3 linked regions of the Drosophila melanogaster genome follow. The gene in region 1 interacts genetically with each later gene. Each region holds a gene or a part of one and is shown in the gene's direction. Other genes may lie near its edges.

The links. A genetic interaction does not mean that the proteins touch.
Region 2: of hpo (region 1) and bun, changing one suppresses a phenotype caused by changing the other (phenotypic suppression), as found in Drosophila melanogaster (one study listed by BioGRID).
Region 3: of hpo (region 1) and Uba1, changing one enhances a phenotype caused by changing the other (phenotypic enhancement), as found in Drosophila melanogaster (one study listed by BioGRID).

The regions. Positions count from the first base shown.
Region 1 is NT_033778.4:19,492,470-19,499,284, reverse strand, and holds hpo (hippo), read left to right. Parts: upstream 1-2,428; 5' UTR 2,429-2,536; coding exon 2,537-3,824; intron 3,825-3,881; coding exon 3,882-4,603; 3' UTR 4,604-5,289; downstream 5,290-6,815. Other genes in the region: CG15120 (uncharacterized protein), read right to left, coding at 947-1,125, 1,219-1,483; Rep (Rab escort protein), read right to left, coding at 5,410-5,810, 5,868-6,815. UniProt on the Drosophila melanogaster protein: Plays a key role in the Hippo/SWH (Sav/Wts/Hpo) signaling pathway, a signaling pathway that plays a pivotal role in organ size control and tumor suppression by restricting proliferation and promoting apoptosis.
Region 2 is NT_033779.5:12,542,825-12,549,457, reverse strand, and holds the start of bun (bunched), read left to right. Parts: upstream 1-2,846; 5' UTR 2,847-3,048; exon of another isoform or gene 3,049-3,815; intron 3,816-5,114; exon of another isoform or gene 5,115-5,518; intron 5,519-5,859; exon of another isoform or gene 5,860-6,282; intron 6,283-6,633. UniProt on the Drosophila melanogaster protein: Probable transcription factor required for peripheral nervous system morphogenesis, eye development and oogenesis.
Region 3 is NT_033778.4:9,687,002-9,696,073, reverse strand, and holds Uba1 (ubiquitin activating enzyme 1), read left to right. Parts: upstream 1-2,745; 5' UTR 2,746-3,033; coding exon 3,034-3,792; intron 3,793-4,370; coding exon 4,371-6,092; intron 6,093-6,154; coding exon 6,155-6,463; intron 6,464-6,520; coding exon 6,521-7,306; 3' UTR 7,307-7,785; downstream 7,786-9,072.

The DNA.
Region 1 (6,815 bases):
ATATAACCCACTATCTTAACCAGATTGTATTGCATATATGACTGAATGACTCAGAATAGGAATTTTACTTTGATTTTAAGAAGACAGCAACTTTATATTTAAGTCAAAGGCGACATCGCTGGCATCGCAGCTGCGTGAGCCTCACATATGGGTTTCCCCAACATCGACCTTCGACCCCGTGACGTAAATCAGGCAGTGTCACTCACATATCACTCTCCTGTCACGACGGCATTTCGGCCTAGATAAACAAACGCACCACCCAAATGACATACGCCGCATATGTGGACTCCACATCGAATATGGAGTGCCATCCAAGGTCTGTGACATTGAACCAGCCAAAGGGGTCACACACACACTCATGCGAGGTGGGTGGGAATTGGTTACACATAACTTTCCGATTGCAGCGGAGTTCCATGGGAAATTGACTGACAGTTGGACGGTGCGACGTTTTGAATGTCAGTAGTCGCATTCCGGACGGAATCGCTTGCCCGTCAGCCGTGGAGCTCTACTAACTCCGGAAATAGACAATGGCATATTATTTACTCGGTTTTTGCTTTCACCTGCAACACTTGAAATAATTGGACACGCAGGTGTACGAAACTCGAGCTAAATTCAAATATGGGCTTTGTCTATGGGTCACCGAGTGGTAAGGTTACCCCTTTCTAGTGACAGTCGTGCAATTTCATTTGATTTTTATTTGCATTGACTCACATTTGTATAGTTGAAGTTTAAGTTTGCCAACAGACATATGGAAAATTCTAGCTATGGTTACAAAAATAAATCATTACCCGAATGTAAGGGCTTAAAAAGAATTAAGTTTAAATGTATGACCTATCCAAATTTCGAACAATATAACTTAATACCATATATATAGTATAATTAATAAGTCAACTAACAACGAACCTAATGGAATTTAGCGCCCTACCAAATAATTCCCACCACTCACCGTCCATCCGATTTTGTCGCCCCCGCAGAGGTACTCCATCTTTATGGGCAGGTCGCCGCGGTCAAAGTACATTCGGAAGAGGGTTCCTCGTCCCGGATCATTAGCCCCACCGGTGGAGCAGCCATTAAGACCCATGCCCAAGTTGAAGGTGGACATGGACTTTTGTTGGCGCCTCAGAACTGAAAATCAGTACAAATGCAAATGTGGGCAGGGATGTCATTAGGGAAACAAATACCGATGGGCGAAACACCCAAATAAACAAACTAACGCACTTTTCGGATTGGGCACCCGACTCCTGGCACTGGCTGTCTTGGGGGCGGTTTCGTGGATGGGTCCGTCGATGACGACCGTGTTCTTTTGCTGCGACTGAATGGAGAAGGGTGGAACGTAGCGCGGACGCGACGAGACCGCCGCTCCATGGATGCCGCTAAGTGGACGCAGTTGCGCCGGATTGGCGGACTTGGAGCGCGTCGGCCTGTGGTAGTCGTGCGTGGGACGCCTTGCCGTCGCGGTGCGTGCCGTTTGGGCCATGGCCATTTCCGGTTGATGCGACGATGTGCAGCCACGTAGTGTAAACAGCGAACTGCCGAGCGAAGGAATTTCTGTAGCCAGGCTGGCACTCCTGGTGTTGGCGTTGCTTTTGCTGTTGCTGTTGGGTGTCGTGTCGTTTCTATGGAGCACGTTGCTAAGGCCTGGGGCGGCTTAGTGACCGATAAGCCAGCAGTTGGAGCTAAAGCCGCTTGCTCGCATTCGCTGCGGTGCTCTCTTCCAGTCGCATTTGTTACAATAACAAGCCGGTTAGCCTTATAGGCGCCAGTTATGTTGTTATTATCATTCGACTATGCACTAACCAAAGTCCCCGGACTGCATGTAGATTTCCCAAGCACTTTTATTGGGCATTTCAGGTCAGCGAACTCATCGGAATGAAGGGGATCTGGGTTTTCTGGGGGCGCAACCGCAGATTAACAACGACAAATTGGCACAGCTCATGTCAATCATGCCAACATTTTATTCTATTTGATGAACAACAACAATCGATCCATAAAAGCAATTTAATTTTATATACAGAAGTAATAAATATTAAAACGTATTCAAAGTGAAACAAATTACCTAAACAACTTAATATTATAAATATTATATGTTAATCAGAATTTACTAAATCTTTTTAATCAAAGTACAAAGTAAATCGTCATAAATCTAATCAATAGCCATGAGAAAAACATAGAAATGCCATCATCAAGCAAAGATTTCAAAAAAGAGGTAAGCATGCGTGAGTTGTAAATTTAATTTTAACCTTATAATTCTGAGCCAATAAATTAAGTTTTAAAAAGCGCGCCAAGAGAACTTATCGATAAATGGCTAATTCTGCTATGCAGCACTGGTGCTTTGTTTACATTCTGCGGTGTTCGGCGTTTGTCTGGCAACGCCGCACCTGTTCTGTGCGGGTGGCGTGTTGCAAAGTGCCGAGGGCACTGAGAACTACTAGTGTTGGCTAGCGATCGAGTGCGAATAAAGAACAAAAGTGTGATATGTCGCTGTGAATAGCCAATTATCTGTGTTTTCTCGTGCTAAATCAGAAAATTTTTCGCAATGTCTGAGCCAGAGGTGACCAGCGTTGTAGATATGAAATCGCCCAACATATCCTCCTCCTGCTCCTTCTTCAAGCTGAAGAAGCTGTCGGAGGAGTCGCTTCTGCAGCCGCCGGAAAAGGTCTTCGACATTATGTACAAGCTGGGCGAGGGCAGCTATGGATCAGTCTACAAGGCAGTGCACAAGGAAAGCAGCTCCATTGTGGCCATCAAGCTGGTGCCGGTGGAGTCCGACCTGCACGAGATTATTAAGGAGATATCCATTATGCAACAATGCGACTCGCCGTATGTGGTGCGCTATTACGGCTCCTACTTCAAGCAGTATGACCTGTGGATCTGCATGGAGTACTGTGGCGCCGGCAGCGTCTCCGACATTATGCGTCTGCGCAAAAAGACGCTGACGGAGGACGAGATAGCCACTATTCTGTCGGACACTCTGCAGGGCTTGGTCTATCTGCATCTGCGTCGCAAGATCCATCGCGACATCAAGGCGGCCAACATCCTGCTCAATACCGAAGGCTATGCTAAGTTGGCCGATTTCGGAGTCGCTGGTCAGCTCACGGACACAATGGCCAAGAGAAACACTGTGATCGGAACGCCCTTCTGGATGGCCCCCGAGGTGATTGAGGAGATTGGCTACGACTGTGTGGCAGACATATGGTCATTGGGCATCACCGCCTTGGAAATGGCCGAGGGAAAGCCCCCATACGGTGAGATCCATCCCATGCGAGCCATCTTTATGATTCCGCAGAAGCCACCACCATCGTTCCGGGAACCGGATCGCTGGAGCACAGAGTTCATTGACTTCGTGAGCAAGTGCCTGGTAAAGGAGCCAGACGACCGGGCAACGGCCACTGAACTGCTGGAGCACGAGTTCATACGCAACGCCAAGCACCGATCGATCCTAAAGCCTATGCTTGAGGAGACCTGTGCCATTCGCGAGCAGCAACGCGCCAATCGCAGTTTTGGGGGCGTGTTGGCTGCTAGTCAGGCGAAGAGCTTGGCAACCCAGGAAAACGGAATGCAACAACACATCACGGACAACGCGTTTATGGAGGATCCAGGTACTCTGGTGCCGGAGAAGTTCGGTGAATACCAACAGAGCTCAGCCTCAGATGCCACCATGATAGCGCATGCAGAGCAAGGTGTGGATGAGGGCACTTTGGGGCCGGGTGGACTAAGGAACCTGTCCAAGGCAGCTGCTCCTGCAGCGGCCTCTTCGGCAGCATCTCCTCTGGACATGCCGGCAGTTGACAGCGGCACAATGGTGGAGCTGGAGTCGAACTTGGGTATGTAAATGATTTTGAAAGGGCTGGCCATTTGTTATTGTATTGTCTGTTATTCAGGCACTATGGTAATCAACTCCGATTCGGACGACTCCACAACGGCCAAAAACAACGACGACCAGAAGCCGCGAAACCGCTACAGGCCGCAGTTCCTGGAGCACTTCGATCGCAAAAATGCGGGAGATGGCCGTGGCGATGAAAAACCCATAGCCACAGAGTATTCTCCGGCAGCAGCGGAGCAGCAACAACAACAACAACAGCAGCAGCAACAACAACAGCAGGATGAACAGCATCTGGCAAGCGGGGCCAACGATTTGAACAACTGGGAGCACAACATGGAAATGCAGTTCCAGCAGATCTCCGCCATTAATCAGTATGGTCTGCAGCAGCACCAGCAGCAGCAGCAAGTTCTGATGGCTTATCCCCTGATGAACGAACAACTCATCGCGCTCAACAATCAACCGAATCTGCTGCTCAGCAACGCTGCGCCAATGGGACAGCAGGGAATACCGGCAGCGGCTCCAGCTCAACCGCCGCCCGCATATCAGAATCAGCATATGCATACGCAATCGCACGCCTATGTTGAGGGTGAGTTTGAGTTCCTCAAGTTCCTTACCTTCGACGATCTGAACCAGCGGCTGTGCAACATCGATCACGAAATGGAGCTGGAGATCGAACAGCTAAACAAGAAATACAATGCCAAGCGGCAGCCAATTGTTGACGCCATGAATGCAAAGCGCAAACGCCAGCAGAACATCAATAATAATCTGATTAAGATATAGGTAAAGCAACTCACAATTTCGCAAGACAACTGATTATGAAATCTCAACTCACTCAATTGCCTCTACATTGGGTTAAGTTTGCAGATGAATACTGAATCTTACAGACCCATCATCTGTATCCTCTAGAAATTATTCGTGCATTGTGCAAATTTAACCTGGTGGAAGGGTCTAAAATCAATCACAAGAAATGAAAACACAAAAGCTTTATTGTAAAATGCAGTGAAAACAGAAAAGAGGAGTCATCGGCAGTATCTTCCAGCACGAAAGCATATTTTCTGTTAGATTTCATCAAATTTATGCTTGGTTTCTTATATCCTAGCTTTCATTGATCTGTCTTTTAATATAAATAGGTATGCTCGAATAAAATTTATCTTGCGTTTATTGTAGCTGCCCGTATTGTGAACTGCCCAGGCCTTATCATAATTTAATAAGACTTATAATATTCGTTCTTCCTTGGTAACTATTAACCTTTATCTCTAAAACACTTATTTTCTGTCTTCGTGCGATAAAAACAGTAACCCGTCAAGCAATACTTATAAAGGAGAAACATTTTTATACGCATTGGAATGCATATTTTTCGAACATATATTTATCAAAGCAAAATGCACAGAAACACTCACATTTAAACATTTATATATACCTAGTACTTTTAGCAATTATAAATAATTTACATAATAAATATATAGGAATATATGAATCAAAAAATTGCATACAATATATAACTTATTCGAAAGATACTTAAGAAAATTTTGTAATAAGTAATGATATATGTAGACCAAGGAAACCTCCTTTTTATTTTAGTATGACTACTCTTGTATATCCATTTCCTGAGTTGCCTGCTGCATGTCGTGCAATTGTGCCCGCAAATCTTCGGGCAAAGTGTGCTCGTTCAAGGCACTAGGGTCTTCACCATCCACGACAATCTCCTCTGGATCTGGGGCTCGTGGCAAAAAGTCGGCATCTGGGAACATTTTGCCAAATATGTCGCGAGCATTGGCAATGGCCGCGTCATAATCCAGCTCGTAGGTAGGTGGATCGGTGTAGTAAATATGCTCGGCAGCGGGACTTTTACTAGACTGGGCAGCAATTGTGAAGTATGAGCTAAATATTATTTGTGCGTCTGATTGATCGAAGAGTTGGCTAGTGAAAATGGCTAGATCAGACGCTGGATCCTCGCTCAACGCTGGCGTGGTCAGATGGAAGATATCTGTAAAAATTAATTCATTAAAAAGGAATAATTCACATATTTTCTTAAGTTTCTTACATAAACCCTCGGGACAGGCTCCCGTGTAGTGCGACAGTTGTATTAGGAAGGCTTCCCGTCCACCTTCATTGTCAAGTAGTCGAAGAAGATTTACACCACCACCTCCCTTGTTCAGCTCCTCATTGCCCAGGGGACTGGACGATATGAACAAGCCACGTGAGATGTGCGGCTTCAACTCGATGCCCTTTGAAACTGGTGTATAGCCAGGGGCAGAGACCACATTCTTGGCACGCAAAGTTTTCCCTGCGCTGCTCAGCAGGAACTCATTCGAATTGGAATCTAAGGCAATGTCGTCAACGGCTCGCTTTAGGCAGTAAATGCCACCATAAACAGCGCACAAACGGCAGAAGCACTGCGGCAATTCCCCGCAGCCATACATGGGAAAGAGAAAGGGTGTGTTGCCATAGCGGCCCAGACTGCCCAGAAATCGTTGTGTGCGCTGCATACCCTCCTCGAAGCTGGTGCTGGGGCCGCACATGGCAATGGCCTGCATCACGCACGACGATATCTTTTCGGTCACCCGCTGCGCCTGCAAATATTCCAGAAACGTTCGTCCCCGGAATTCCAACGAGTCCTCGTTGCACTTGTCCTCGCCGTAATCGTTGCAGGCGGTGAGAAATTTCATCAGCAAGCGCTTTTCCACGATGGTCAGTGTTTTGGTGTTGAAGACATCGCTACGGGAGCAGGGCACGGACACAATTTCACCATTGTGGCGCATGCACACATGGTCCACGGCTCGGAATTCAGCATAGCGGCAGATGTTCGACTTGATGAGCAACTGCACCAGCTCCCCGGCTGCGTATAAAATGCGCGGGCATAGATCCAAGCTGAAGCGTCGCGACTTGGCCAGCACTGAGTCCCTATTCCAGGATTGTGCATCTGTTTCTGATTCTTTTTCCATGGAATGCCAGGTGTACCTTGCGTTTCGCAATGCAGAATGAGGCTCGA
Region 2 (6,633 bases), on another chromosome or scaffold:
ATCCCCCACACACACACACGCGCGTAAAACAAACATAAATGTGGCGAGTCCTGTGTCCTTTAGCCTCCCCTCCCCCTCTCCCACACACACACACACACACACAAACTAAATAACTAAATACGCATTAGCATCCTGTCGGATTTTCCTTTATTATTGCCACGGCCGTCGGCGAAACGAAAGAAAACGAGATGCGTGGGAGGCAGGCAGGCGTGGCACGTTGCACGCGCTGCTCCTGCGGCACAGTGGGACAAAAGCCATTTTATCCCAGATTTTTTGAAAGTAAGAGAAATAAGAGGAAATACCTCCCATCAAGTCCAATACCACAAACAACTTAGGGATAATTTCCTACTATATTATATTTGAAGTTAACCAGTAGTATCTATTCAGAAAAATTATAAAAACCAAATTAAATTAAGATAAAATTAAGAACATTACATTTACATTACAACATTAATAACATTTCTGCCCCACTGTGCAGTACCCAGGCAACTGCCAACGTTCCAAATGGCAACAAATTCAAACGAACTTGTATGCAGAGTGTGACTGAAAGCATTATTAATAGAGAATGTCGGCGGCTAAACTCAACCACATATACTGAAAGCACTCACATACACGCAAAAGGGATATAAAAGCAATAAGGACATTCATCTTCATAATTACGGGCAGCGAAATGAGAAGAAAGTGCGAGGATGCGAGGATACGATGTGGCATACGCAGAGAGGGAAATTCAAATGAAACGCAAAAGTTTTGCATATGCGTTGGGGATGTGTATGCTGCCAACGGAGTTGTGTATTTCCACCTACACAGAAGAAAAAAATATTTATACTCCGAATCACAAATCGTAGAAATGAAAACTTCACAGGCAAAGCAATATACTATGTAACTATGTAAACTGTGTAATTGAAAAATTCACAGTCACAAAAAAGAATCTAGAACTTATTTTCGTTTTATCATAATCTGAAATAACATGAGTTATTATATATTATCTATTTTTCAATACAGAAAAATTAAAACAATTTCAAAAAAATATACATATGTAATTTTTTAACCTTTTTCGCTCAGTGTGTGCTTGACCAAATGGGCATCTCATGGAAATGACAGTTAAGCCCGCCAACGTTGGTCACCCCAATGAATGCCGGAGCCAGCATTTTCTTCCCCACGAATGCAATCAAATGGAAATTGTTAAAGAAAAGGAAAAAATGCCAGTGAGCACGATTGAGTGGATCGCAGGACTTTTGGCATTTCACAAGGGTGCAACGCATCGGTCTGCACTAATTACGCACCAAACATGTACGGCAAATCGTCAAACCTTTGAATGCCACAAGCGAAAAAAGGGGCAGTTTTTGGGGGGCGAAAAATGTTTGCCAAATGTTTTTCCTGCCTGCTGCAATTTAAATGAGACGTTGGCCAAATGCGAGGGTGTCGCCTGCAGTCGCTGTGTGAAAGTGGGCGGGGCGGGGCGGGGCTGGTCAGTGGAATTAATTCTAATCCCGAACACGTTCCGTTGCGAACGAAGTGGTCAGTTGCGATATACTATATAAATATATATATAATTGTATATACATGCATATGTACATATATAGAACTCCTTAGTGGAGTTTCAATTGGTGGAGGGTGCGTCGATCATTAGCGTGATTTCTTTCCGCTTTGACAAGAAAATCAGAACGCTTCACTGAACTCCATCAGGACGAAAAAAAAAAGAAAAAAGGAATGTCTTAGTCGAATGGTGTGACTATTAGATACCCGTTAGCCAGCTTAAGAAAGTTGGTAAGAGTTGAATATATTTAAAGTCTTAACTGATTAAAGTTAGCAAGCAGAGTATCAGCAAGGTACTTAATTAAAAGAAGAACCAAAGAGTTAAATAAATGCAAGAAGGTAACAAGCAGCAGTGCGACTATCAGATACCTGTTACTCCACAAAACTTTCTTGAGAAGTCTTAGCGCTAGAACAGGAAATGCTCAAAAGCAGTTACATAATTACTGGCAATAATTTATGTTTATTTTTAAGCTTTAATAAACATCAATAGAAAAATTTAATAGAAAAAATAGAAAACTGAGCGCCAGTTCTATGTATCTATTTTGTTTATAAAAACAAGTAAAGTATACAAATTTAAGCATTGTTAAGGTATTAATTTTCTTAATGATTCAAATTATTTGTTACATATATTTTTATAAAGATTTACCAATCGAATTTTAGTCGTTTGAATTCGCTTAGATTCGTTGAAATTCGCTTCTAAATCAAAGCAAAGAAGCGAACCAATGTAAAATATATGTAAATGTAAAATTGTTGGTTCGGTACTTCGACGCGGGATCTGTTTAACGATTTTTTCAGTGATTTCGACACAAAAAGAGTAACTACTGCAGTTATTTTGCTAATAAAAAATTTAACTATATTATATGATAATTATAGATGATATGATATTAAATATAAATATAATTAAAATTTATAATAGTCCGATTTTTGACCAGAACTTATTATCGACATTATATAAGCCCATTATATACAAAAATGATTCCTAAAACAATCAAATAAAAGTAGAGTTGTGCCACTCGCCTTAGTATAACTTAGTTCTAAAGTATATGTTAATTTTATGTTAAATTCATTTTCGAATAATGGAAAAACGAGCGCCAATGTTGCGCTAGGGATTTCTAAACGATATGTAAACGATATCGTATATCGCACGACAATCGCCTGCGTGTAGAACTTAACAATCGATAGTTGTATTTAGCACAGAACCAAACCAAAAAATGCTAAAATATCAGTTTTGAACAGTATAGTGTGACCGCTATATGTGCCAAAAATCCCGTATTCAGTATTTGGTATTATTATTTGATATTATATTTTTATTGGCATTTTGAGTTGGGACAAAAACGCAAGGCAAGTTGTTGGTCTTTTTCGCTGTCTGCAGACGGATAAAAAGTAAAAGAACGCAAATCGAACGCGCCGCGAACGTATTGCAAAATCGCTTAACTCGCGGCGCCCTTGAAAACGACGAGGAAAAGCGAAAAAAGGCTGCGAGAGCTAGCGCAAAATCGAAGAAAAAACTGTGTATGTGCGTGCGTGTGAGTGTATGAGTGTGACGTGTGCGTCGCTGTGTGTGTGAGCGAGCTGGCATGCAGATGTAGAGATGTGTGTGCGCTGCTGCTGCGGCTGTGTGTGCGTGTAAATTGAATAAGAAAACGGAGCACAAATGGCACTGATGGAAAATTTATATGTGCGCTGAAAAATTAATTTATTTGCAAAAAGCCAAAGAGCTGCGAAAAGTAAAGTGACAAGCGGAGAGATGTGCAAAATCGAAAGAACGAAAAATTGTGGATTGCCGACTCTCTGCAGATTTGAAGAGAGTGGCAGCGAAAGAGAGACATAGAGAGAGAGTTTGTGTATGTGTGGGTGTGAGCCGCCTTTGCCAGGAAAACTAAAAAGAAAAAAATTCCCTGGCGTTAAAATTTGCACAAAAAATGTTGAATTCGATTGTTTGCTTTCCGCAGTTCGGCGTTTCGCTTTTTTTTTTTGCACAAAACTTTTTTCGCCAATTTTTCATGCACGCTTTTTCGTTTATTTAATTCCTCTCTCTCTCTCTCCATCTCTCTCTCACTCATTTTTTCGCTCTCCGAATCGACTCTCTCGCAGTGCTCTCCGCTTTTTGCTTGTGCACAGCCAAGTGTCAAAACTGTCATTTACCTTCCTTTTGTCCGATTAGCAAAACGCAACGAAAAACTAATATCCCATCCAAATTAAATTCGTGGCCGTTCGCTTGTTTTAAGTTTATTGTTTTACGCCAAGAAACAAGTAATTTTAAATTGTTTGACATACGCGTAAGTGTGGTAAAAATGTAAAAGAGAGGCCTTTGCCTCTTAGTGCAACAAATCGATCAGAAAGTAACCAATAAAAAAGCAAAGCAAATCGAAACATGTTTCAAAACGAAGGAAAAATCAGAGAAATTCAATGAAACAAAAGTGCAAAACAGTCGCGTAATTGTTGGTGTGTGTGTGTGTGTGTGTGTCAGCGTGTGTGCCCATCCTTTTGGTCTGCTTCTTCACTTTCGCTCAGTTGTTGTTGCAGCTTGCACTTTGTACCTTAGATTTTTCCCATTTCCTCTTTCCATTCCCATTTCTCCAAAACAGCTGGCCAAGCATTTGATTAACTCCAATATTCCTTCGTTTTCTACTGTATTTTATGTGCCATTTACCTTTGTTTATAATGTCAGCTGGCCCGGCATTGTTGTTTATTTTCTGTTCTGCTTCGCCTTGATTGTTTAGTCAAGTGTTAGTTTTGTTTTTGTGCCATTTTGCAATTTTCTGCTTATTTGCCATCCGATATTATGGGGTAATTTTTTTTTCATATGTGATTTTTAGTAGAAATTCATATAAAAAATTGTGTGTTCTGTTTGGTTAACGGTAACTCGAATTACACACAAGTGTTTAGAATTATGGATACGTATTTAATAACAGCGGTGTGCAATAATAGTAGATTTGCAAAAACCAACCAGCATTTCTGAGAATATTAATTTCTAGTTTATGAACTAAAATATGAAATTCACTCTGTATGAGTACCCTTTTTATACAAACTTGAAATGAATAAATCTGATTAGCTTTGAATGCCCTTGAACCAATCTACAATATCTTCACGATCATAATGATCATCCCTTTTAACGCATCTCCGATTTCAAAGCAAAACAAAATAAACCTCAGGCCAGATCGGTTTTCTTGTCAAGCCGCGTGGCAAATTTTTCTGCTTACCATGCACCATTTTGTAACTATAACTGGACGATATATTTGCGTTTAGGAATCGGATACACTTCAGATTTCTGCCAACTCTTTGATACAACCGATGGCACAAACTCAGAAAGGTTTGGATTGTTTTGCGAGTTACTTTCATAGGTATCGGTATCAAGAAGTTGCAAGAAATAAGCTGGGGTTTCTTGAACAGGGATCTATCTGCATAAAAGAAATGCGTGTGCAGACAGTCACGTCGACCAAACCAGAATTCAATCAGTTCATTTTTTTTTGTAATGTAGGAATTTCGGGGTTGATTGCTAGCGGAAAAGTACCAATCTTTCAACAACTGGTTAACTTTTTGAATGAAACCATCATAAAAAAATAACTAATTATTTTATCTAGGGTATTGTCACTTTCGGTACATTTAACACCTATTTGCACCAATTTTCTTTGATGTCTTGTTGCTTTATTTACATTCTGCGACTCAATTCAATTGAGAAATTATATTCGATTTCAATTGTATCTGAGTATCTCATGGATGCATTGTCATTGTAATCTCTAGCTTGTTGTTGTTCCTTTTGCAGCCGCCTCCTCCTCATCTTCGTCGCTGCTCTTTTCTCGTTTGATAAACATTTTCATTGCCTTCTCTCTGCATACATCGCTCTCTCTCGCTCTTTCGGGTTCTTTTACTTCCTCCTACAACGCCTTCGTTTTTCTTTTCCTTTTCCCTTGCCATTTTTTTTGCATTGTGAATCATTTCCTTGCGGAAAGGAAAAGAGCGAAGAAAAGGTGGGAAGTGCCTGTGGGTGAAAGACAGGAAAGGAAAGTCACTGATTGAAAAGTTATTAACTCGGTTGAATTTTCATTATGCATTATTTAACACCCTGGTGTCCTTAAAGTTCAGTTTTATATCTGTCAGCAAGGTATAAATTTTTAGAGGATTTTTTAGAGGATAACCCATTTATTTTTTGTTTCTATTTTTTGCTCCTAAAGGCCTTTTTTGTTATATCCCATTTTCGTTTTTGTTTTTACCGATAGTCTTAAAGTTTAGTAGGGCTTGATAAGGTTTTGATGGTTTAGCTGAGAAAGCAGCAGTGCATTTTATTACCGTATTTTGTATTGGCAATATATCCTGGCTTACCTTTGATGCACTGCGAACAATCGGGACACCTTTCCTTTTGCTTTTCATCTTCTTCGGCTGCTGCTATCATCATCAATATTGATTACCGGCAGCTGTCCGAGAGCGGGAGAGTGCGAGCGAGCAGCCGCTCTCCTTTTGCGGTTTGTTTGGTATGCGGCCCCCACCCCGTCCCGCCCACTTGTAGGCGCCCACGTTGGTAGGAAGGAGCATGTGGATGTAGATGCGGTTGCGGAGGGGCCAACAGGCTGCTCTCGCTCTCTTGCAGCTCCCGCTCTCCGATTGCAATTTTCTCAACGCGCATTCGCTCGCTCACACTCACTCTCTCTCGCTCGCGCTTGCCTCTTTCTGTACTATCTGTTGTAGTTGCTTTTCATTACATTTGTTGTTGTTGGCTTGCCATCGATTTTATGCTTTGTCGTTGCAATTAGTTCTTCTTCTGTTGCTTGCTTCTTGTCTGCACTTTTAGTTCTCATTTTCTTTTCACCCCATCTCCTTGTTGTTGCTTTTGCTATTGAGGAAGGCAGTGAGCAGAGGCAGAAGTCCTCCTCCTCCTCCTTTCCATTCGCCGATTTGTTTGTGTGCGAAATCTGGTGCCTACAGCGATACTTTGATTATTGACTGCCGGGGGGTTAAAAGGGGTCCCAAGTTTATTGTCCAGAAGATGAGTTACAAGAATGGATACTCCACTTCCAGTGGTTCTTGATGAATTGGGTATTCTGGTTCGGTTTGGGTGTGCGCTTTTTCAATGGATTAAATTCTCTAATTGAGCCAATT
Region 3 (9,072 bases), 9.8 Mb from region 1:
GGATTTGTAACGTATTTTCCAAGGCGGCAGGGGACACTTCTTCAATTGTTGCGATCGTCTTCCTTCTCCTCATAGATGGTGGCTGTGCGATAATGCGCATTTTCCCAGACAATTAAAGCGAGGGAACCGCTCGTCATTTAGTGGCAATACTCGTAGGACAAAAAGATGTTGATCGCCAGAAGAGATATATTTTCTCCTTGATAAACGCAATTCGAGACACTGGGCTAGATGGGCACCTCGGTAGTTGTGGCTCAACAAGGAGTCGTTTTCCACAATCTTGGGGTTAGTCAAAGGAACAATTGTCGCTCTGAAAGAAGCGGAGTATTAAAATGCCACCTAATGCTGCGTGCCTTTCGTGTTATCCTCAATGTTTTAGAAAAAAGTTGGAACTTCAGGCATAATTTTTAAGTGAAGGGGACATAAAAAGACTTTTCTAACAGTTTAAGGAGAGTTTAATCATTTATCTATTTATTTATGAAAAACCTCCCAGCTCTCTTGATTTTAATGAGCATATGTTTCTTGTTCTTTTTAAATTCAATTTGCCGAGTTGTTGTTACAATAATTTGGTGTAGGATAAAAAAAAAAAAAAAATAACCCAAAGCCCTTTGCCAATTTTTGGGAATAGGCATTTCTACCCTGCCAGCCGCTGACAGCGGCGAAATTAATAGTGCCAGCCATTTTTTCAGCGGCTTTTCATATTCAAATTACATTCCCAATTGATTAATGGTTGAATATTTGCATAGGGATGATGCGTGGCCATATGTGATGTGCTTAATTAGGGAGGGCGGAGTGCATTCCACATATGTACATACGTATGCATGTTTATATCTCTTCGGGGGCACGCGATGCAGAATATTTGGAGGACAGATGGGCAGCAGACACCCCCGCTCATTCGCTGCAGGATCAGTATGCTAATTTGGCAGGAATTTGTGTTTTTCGGGTTATACCACGCGACAAGGACGTGGAACACACCGCACGCGATAAAGTCCGCGGCTAGTTTCTCGATCCTATCGAGATCGGACTAAAATTAGAGCGTCGGAGGAGGGAGGGGGGAATTTCTAAAACGGGAGCAGCATTTCGCGCAGCTGTAGGCGTAAATTAAAATGCATTTTACGCAACTGTGCGACAAGATCCGGGCTTTAGATCCTGCAGCTGTTGCCCCTCGTACTGCATTTTCCTAATGGCACGCTCTCAACACTTGAAAAGGACACACCCCCGCCGCTCGGAAAACTGGTATAGGATAGCTCTCTGTTTTTCGTGGAAATTTACGCATTTTCATGCTCGACTACCGTTGCACAGAACAGAAAGGGAACCCCGACCGAAAATAGATTAGCCGCTCTCAAAGGATATTGAACCCGGCCAGGACCAAGCGACACCGAAGGACTTCGCCGTGGGTCAGTTGGTGTTGGTTTGTGGGACAACTGCCGAGGGGCGCGTGCCACGATCGGGGTTTTTGGGCCAGGATAATTGCCTCAAGTGCCGACAGATTGATGACCAGCAAACTCATTGAAGTATATATTTCAATTTCGAGCTAATGGCTTAGAAGTTGATGAAATCGGAGAGTAAAGAATTATTAAATTTAAGTTTTTTGAACACACATCTATTAAGAGGTTGTTCTACGTTTGAAATATGTATTTGCTAAATTAACTTTCAATCGATATTATGTCACTCACAAAAACGAATATTCCAATATATTTTATTTATTCAAAATATTGTGAATATTGCTTTATTTATAGAAGAAGGGAACACAATTTTTGAATTGTTTAGAAAAATAAGAACGATCTATTAAATGGCATAATTCAAAAATATCAAGTTTAAGCCATATACATGTATAAGTTACTTTTAAGTTTGACCAGTACAAAGTATATAGGAATTTATAATGGGGAAGCCAAGCTATATTATAATGAATAATTATTATTATTATAATGAATAATATCAAGATATCAGGGTTGTGCTTGCACCACAATTATGAAAAATAAAGTAATGACCCAGAAGTCTGTTATCATCTATTTATAAGCAGTTTGAAACAAATTAAAACCCACTTTAAATTTTATCAAATAAATATATTACCAATATACATTTAAATTTCGAACATTACATAGCAAAAAAATGTCAATTGAAATCAACAAATTTTTGAAAATGCGAGCCATATTTTCATTAAACGAGCTTGTATTTTTTGAACCCGAACCGTTTTTTTTTTCAAGTTTAAAAAGAATTAACTAACTCTAACAAAATCTAATATTTCAGTCGGTGTAGTAAAAACATAAACATAAACGATTTCAAATGTATCCTGAATACGCGGTAAACTTGTGTTTACCAACACCGCCTCTTAGACTATTCAGGCCTGCCAGATCTCCAAAAAAATATTATTTAGATAAGTTAGTGACACAAAAGGTTTAAGTCTTAACTGCGCTTAGCTGGGCTTTAAACCCACTGCCTATTCTTTGCTAATTGGAGTATTGCAAATCAGTTTTGAATCTGATTTATTTGTCCCGCTTACCAATTTTAATTGTGTAAATTCATTTGGTTTTACTTGGCCAACTTACAAATAATAGAATAATAAAAATGAAAGCCGTCTGTTTAATTATTAAAATAATGTGAATTAATTGGATTATTAATCTGGGCGTTATTATATAGAAAAGAAACCTAACTAACCAATTGCGGAAATATCGATAGCATCGCAATAAAATCTATATTGTGCCACCTCCAATTCACACAGGTCGGTCACACTGGGCAGGCTTGCCAATTTCAAGAGCCGCGGCCACACTACTGCGAATTCTATACTGCAACTCGATCGTGCGTGTTCTGTATTTTTGGGAGTGCGTTGTTAGAAATTCGGCCACAAATAGAATCCGCTGTCCTGGAACGAGTCAGAAACCACGGGAAATTGACTTCCGGACTAAATAGCGTTCTTGTGTGTCCATCCGTGTGCGTGTGTCCGCATTCTGCAGTGTGCGTGTGTGCGAAAGAGAGAGGGCGAGCGGTGCAGCCGCAACTGGGAAATTCGATTGCCAATATTTCAGCAAGGAAGCTATGTCGAGCGGTCAGCAATTGATGGCCGATTCGCCAGCCTGCAGCTCAAGTGACCATTCGCCGCTGGCCAAAAAAAGGCGTTTAGAGTTGTTGGGTGACGGAGTGGGGGCAATGGGAATGGAAGAGGAAGAAGCCGGCGGAGCAACGAGCAGCAGTAGCAGCAACAACTACGAAAATCACGACAAAGCAGGCGGCGTTGACATTTCGGGCAAGTGCCAGAGCAAGACGACTAGCGAGCACCAGCTGGAATTGTGCGTATCGTCGTCTACCTCTGACACATGCGGCGTTAATGCTGCGGCGAAGCGAGCCGAAAAGCAGAAACTGAAACAGAGCCAAGGAAGCGGCGACGACGTTAGTACCTCGTCAGCAGTGGAAAAGGAAGGAAGCAAGCGGCCGGAGAAGCGCAATTACCTGAACACCACCACAATAGAATCGCAAGAAGCCTCCTCCAGTGCATCCGCCACTAGCAACAGCAACAACAACGTCAGCTCCAGCAACAATAACAGTAATAACAGCACTAATAACCGACAACTGGAAGGAAGCAGCAACATGGCTGGAAACAGTGCCGCCGCCGGCGGAGATATCGATGAATCGCTGTACTCGCGCCAATTGTACGTCCTGGGTCACGATGCGATGCGTCGGATGGCCAATTCGGATATCCTTCTGTCGGGACTTGGAGGACTCGGCCTGGAGATAGCCAAGAATGTGATTCTGGGCGGCGTGAAATCGATCACCTTGCATGACACAGCAACTTGTGGGGTATGTGTGTGGGGCGAAGAAAAAATCGATAATTTTCCAGGCGGACGCGGGAAATGCCCGGAAAGGCTGACTTGGCATCCCTGGTCTTAGTGAATCATTCAGTTTTTATTTGATTTATTTATCATAGACTTCGCGCGAAATAAGGTTAGGTTAACATCTCTATTTGCTTGCAAAAAATTCGTTTTGTGTGTGTAATTCGGTTTTCCTTCTTTTTCTATTTGCCTCAAAATGTCTGCGCCATGCGAAAAGTGTGTGAGCGGGACAACCGTATGCGCATCGCTCGCTGCCGTTGTGTTTGCATTCCCCTTTGCTCAACGCATTCGGTTTTGTTTTATGCACTGAAAGATTCAACTTAAGATCTATGAGTTTCTCATAAACCGTAATATATCAATTATTTAGTTAATAGCCTTTCAATTTAAAGTTTTCTTGTATCATAAAAACTTTTTTGTTCTAATGACAAATATGTCTTTGCTGTACACTCGGCACAGAACCAATTTTCCTTTGTTAGTCATGGCTCCCGTCTGCTAATTTCATCACCGTTGATATATAATATTAATGATTATTCGTTTGTCTTGCAGCTCCATGACTTGTCGTCGCAATTCTATCTCACGGAAGCCGATATCGGCAAGAATCGTGCGGAGGCCTCTTGCGCCCAGTTGGCCGAGTTAAACAACTATGTGCGCACCGTTTCGCACACGGGGCCGCTTACCGAGGAGTTCCTGCGCAAGTTTCGCGTTGTGGTACTGACCAACTCCGACGGGGAGGAGCAGCAGAGGATCGCCAAGTTTGCCCATGAAAATGGCATTGCTCTGATCATCGCCGAGACGCGCGGACTGTTCGCCAAGGTGTTCTGTGACTTTGGCGAGAGCTTTACCATTTACGATCAGGATGGCACACAGCCGATCTCCACCATGATAGCTAGTATCACGCACGACGCACAGGGAGTCGTCACCTGCCTGGACGAGACGCGCCATGGTTTTAATGACGGTGACTACGTCACCTTCTCGGAGGTGCAGGGCATGCAGGAACTGAACGGTTGTCAGCCCCTTAAGATCACAGTGCTGGGACCCTACACATTTAGCATCGGTGATACCAGCAAGTTTGGAGAATATAAGAGCGGAGGAGTGGCCACCCAGGTGAAGATGCCCAAGACCATCAGCTTCAAGCCCCTGGCACAGGCCACTGAGGAGCCGGAGTTTTTGATCTCCGATTTCGCAAAGCTGGACTCGCCGGCCACGCTGCACGTGGCCTTCAATGCCCTCTCCTGCTACCGCAAGGCCCATAATGGAGCCTTACCGCGTCCCTGGAACGAGGAGGACGCCAACAGCTTCCTCGAGGTAGTCCGAGCCAGCAGCAACGCGGAAGTCGACGAAAAACTGGTGCTGCAATTCGCCAAAATCTGCTCGGGTAATACGTGCCCGCTGGACGCGGCCGTTGGTGGAATTGTGGCCCAGGAGGTGCTTAAGGCCTGCAGTGGAAAGTTTACACCCATCTACCAGTGGTTGTACTTTGACGCCCTGGAGTGTCTGCCCACAGAGGGTGTCGAGGAGGCGGATGCCCAGCCGGTGGGCTCGCGCTATGATTCTCAGATTGCCATATTTGGCAAGAAGTTCCAGGAGAAGTTGGCTGACTCGAAATGGTTTATTGTCGGCGCCGGAGCCATTGGTTGTGAGCTATTGAAAAACTTTGGAATGCTGGGCCTGGGAACTGGCAATGGCCAGATTTTCGTCACAGACATGGATCTCATTGAGAAGTCGAATCTGAACCGGCAGTTCCTGTTCCGCCCGCATGATGTGCAGAAGCCTAAATCAATGACGGCCGCCGACGCTATCAAACGGATGAATCCGGAAGTGAATGTCACCGCATACGAGTTGCGCGTTGGCGCCGAAACAGAGAAAGTCTTTTCCGAAGATTTCTTTGGAAAGTTGGATGGTGTAGCCAATGCGCTGGACAACGTGGATGCTCGCATATATATGGATCGCAAATGCATCTTCAACCGCATTCCGCTCGTCGAGACCGGAACTCTGGGAACTTTGGGCAACGTTCAGGTGATTGTGCCCTTTGCCACCGAATCTTATAGCTCCTCCCAGGATCCCCCAGAAAAGAGTATTCCCATCTGCACGCTGAAGAACTTCCCCAATGCCATCGAGCACACTCTGCAGTGGGCGCGTGACGCCTTTGAGGGCGTCTTCAAGCAGTCTGCAGAAAATGCTGCTCAGTACATCGCCGATCCTCAGTTCACCGAGCGAATCGCCAAGCTGCCTGGTATTCAGCCTCTGGAGATCCTCGATTCCATCAAGGTAAGGATAGAATTTACTTCTTTGCCTAATATGTTGTACTTAATGGTAATTTATTTTTACAGAAAGCTCTGATCGACGACAAACCCAAGAGTTTCGCGCACTGCGTGGAGTGGGCCCGTCTTTATTGGGAGGATCAATATGTTAACCAGATTAAGCAGTTGCTCTTTAACTTCCCACCTGATCAGATCACCTCCAGTGGTCAGCCGTTTTGGTCTGGTCCCAAGCGGTGCCCCGATCCCCTGGTCTTTGATGTCAACGATCCCATGCACCTCGACTTTATCTACGCAGCCGCCAATCTTCGAGCTGAGGTCTATGGCATTGAGCAGGTTCGCAATCGCGAGACGATCGCAGAGCTGGTACAGAAGGTTAAGGTTAGTTGTTCGAGATTAATACCGTCGGGGACCATTTCTGATATTATTGATTTATAGGTGCCCGAGTTTAAACCCCGTTCGGGCGTGAAAATAGAAACCAATGAGGCAGCAGCCGCCGCCTCGGCCAATAACTTCGATGACGGCGAGTTGGACCAGGATCGCGTTGACAAGATCATTTCAGAGCTGCTAAAGAACGCCGACAAAAGCTCCAAGATCACGCCACTTGAGTTTGAAAAGGACGACGACAGTAACTTGCACATGGACTTCATTGTGGCCTGCTCAAATCTACGCGCCGCCAACTACAAGATTCCGCCAGCGGATCGCCACAAGTCCAAGTTGATTGCTGGCAAAATCATACCTGCTATTGCCACCACCACGTCGGTGCTCTCTGGATTGGCTGTGCTCGAGGTGATTAAGCTGATCGTCGGCCACCGGGATCTCGTAAAATTCAAGAACGGCTTCGCCAACTTGGCATTGCCGTTCATGGCCTTCTCTGAGCCGCTTCCTGCCGCCAAGAACACATACTACGGCAAGGAGTGGACGCTGTGGGACCGTTTTGAGGTGACCGGGGAGCTGTCGCTGCAGGAATTCCTCAACTATTTCGAGGAGAATGAGAAGCTTAAGATCACCATGCTCTCGCAGGGCGTGTCCATGCTGTACTCGTTCTTCATGCCCAAGGCCAAGTGCTCTGAGAGACTGCCGTTGCCGATGTCGGAGGTCGTGCGTCGCGTGTCCAAGCGTCGCCTGGAGCCACACGAGCGATCCCTGGTTTTCGAGATCTGCTGCAACGATGTGGATGGCGAGGATGTGGAGGTGCCCTACGTCCGTTACACGCTGCCCTAAGCCCGTCTATATTCCTAATTTAACCATTAAATTATTTTACGATCCCGTTTTGTTGTCGGCGACGCGTTTTGGAATCGCGCAGCTCCAACGAAGGAGTTACTGTCTAGCTGTTTGCATTTTAATTTTCACAACACCATTACGAGAGCAGCCCAGATCTAGAAATTATATAAAATGTGTGTGAATCCTCTAAGGAATGGCAAAATAATACGCATCATACGAAATACAAAGACTCGACTAAAAGCAACACTTAAAATGCATCTGATGAAACTCTCTGCTCAGCATAGTTGTAAAGGTAACGAATTACGAAAAACCGAAGGCGGATTTTAATCGCATTGATTAATTGGAAATTGAAAACTGAATGAGCCAGGCGGAAAATTTCTCTTCACTCATATATTTTTTTTATATGGAAGCATAAACTAATTACGTCATTGTATTAAAAGGAGTAAAGCAAATGAATAAAGCTGTATATTTCATATGGTAATCGACCTGCTAGACGACTCAGATAATTTCGTTCAGCACTTGACGTCTGGTAATCTCATTTCCCCCGCCACTTCGGAAATTAAAATTGTAATGCATACTGCTCTGCCAGTGAAGTATATAGGGGATGCCATCTATCCGTACGCCAGTCAGTTTCAGAAAGTTACGTGACACAATTAAATATTTTATGCCCTCTCAAGACGTTTATACCACCCCCGCCCCGCACCCAAGGAGGCTGCTGCCACCAAAGTGCAATTGGCAAGTGCCGTAAAGTTGCACCGCTCATGGAAAGCGTTGGGCGGAGTGGCGGCGTCCTCTTATAATTAAATATTACACGCAATGCAACTGAAGTATGGCCAAAGTTATGCAGTTTCGCATCTCACTCTTGGCCTTTTGCGGCTTTTTGGCAAACTTGCTTGAATTATGCAGTTAATGAAAACAAAGCGAGGCGAGGAAAGTGGCTGCGCCGATCAGCTTTGTATCCGTCGAATAAGTGTGTTCTGGGCAGGGTAATCAAAGTTTTGGGTTTGTAGTTCGACTCCTTAGGGCTCTGATTGTTAGCATCTAAGTATTTAAGATTTACATATAAGATCGTCTTATTACTTAGAGCTTACTTTAAAAAGATGAGTGAACAAACTATTTACAAGGCAAAGTGGAAATGCTGGGTCAGAATTAAGATTAATACCTATCTAAATTTGAGGTGAAAGTAGGTGACTAAGTTTTCAAATAGAGCTGGGAAAATTAGAGATACATTACAGGAGTACCACAAGAGATTTAGAATATGAATATTCCTGTTCTAACACCACATTACAGTACATTTTTATGTTTTTTAAGATTAGTTTCTCAAAAATGAACAGACAATTTTGTTTTATGAAAAGAGTAATCCAAATATTATTCCATATTATTCATTTCGTTCTATTGGTTTTGTTAAGCTGGACTTCTGAATCACTGAAATGTAAAGACTTACATGTACATTTTTCGATCGTACATTCATATGTGCATTACGTACATATGTGCCCATTAAAATGCTTTCTTTGTTGCGACTGCGTATTTTGCGTGATTCGCGGGGATGAGCCCATAGATTTAAATCTCCCCGCTCTTACGTATAGAGTGCGTCAGCTTTTGGTACGAACATCTGCCTAGCGCCAAAAAAAACCAGAGGCTGTTGACTCACGGGAAAAAGAGTGTCACTGGGGAGCTCTTCTGTCGTCTTTTTTTTGTTTTTTTTTTTTTTTTTTTTGTGAACCACTCATCCATGACCGCTTTCAGGTGTAAAAAAAGAAGAGTTT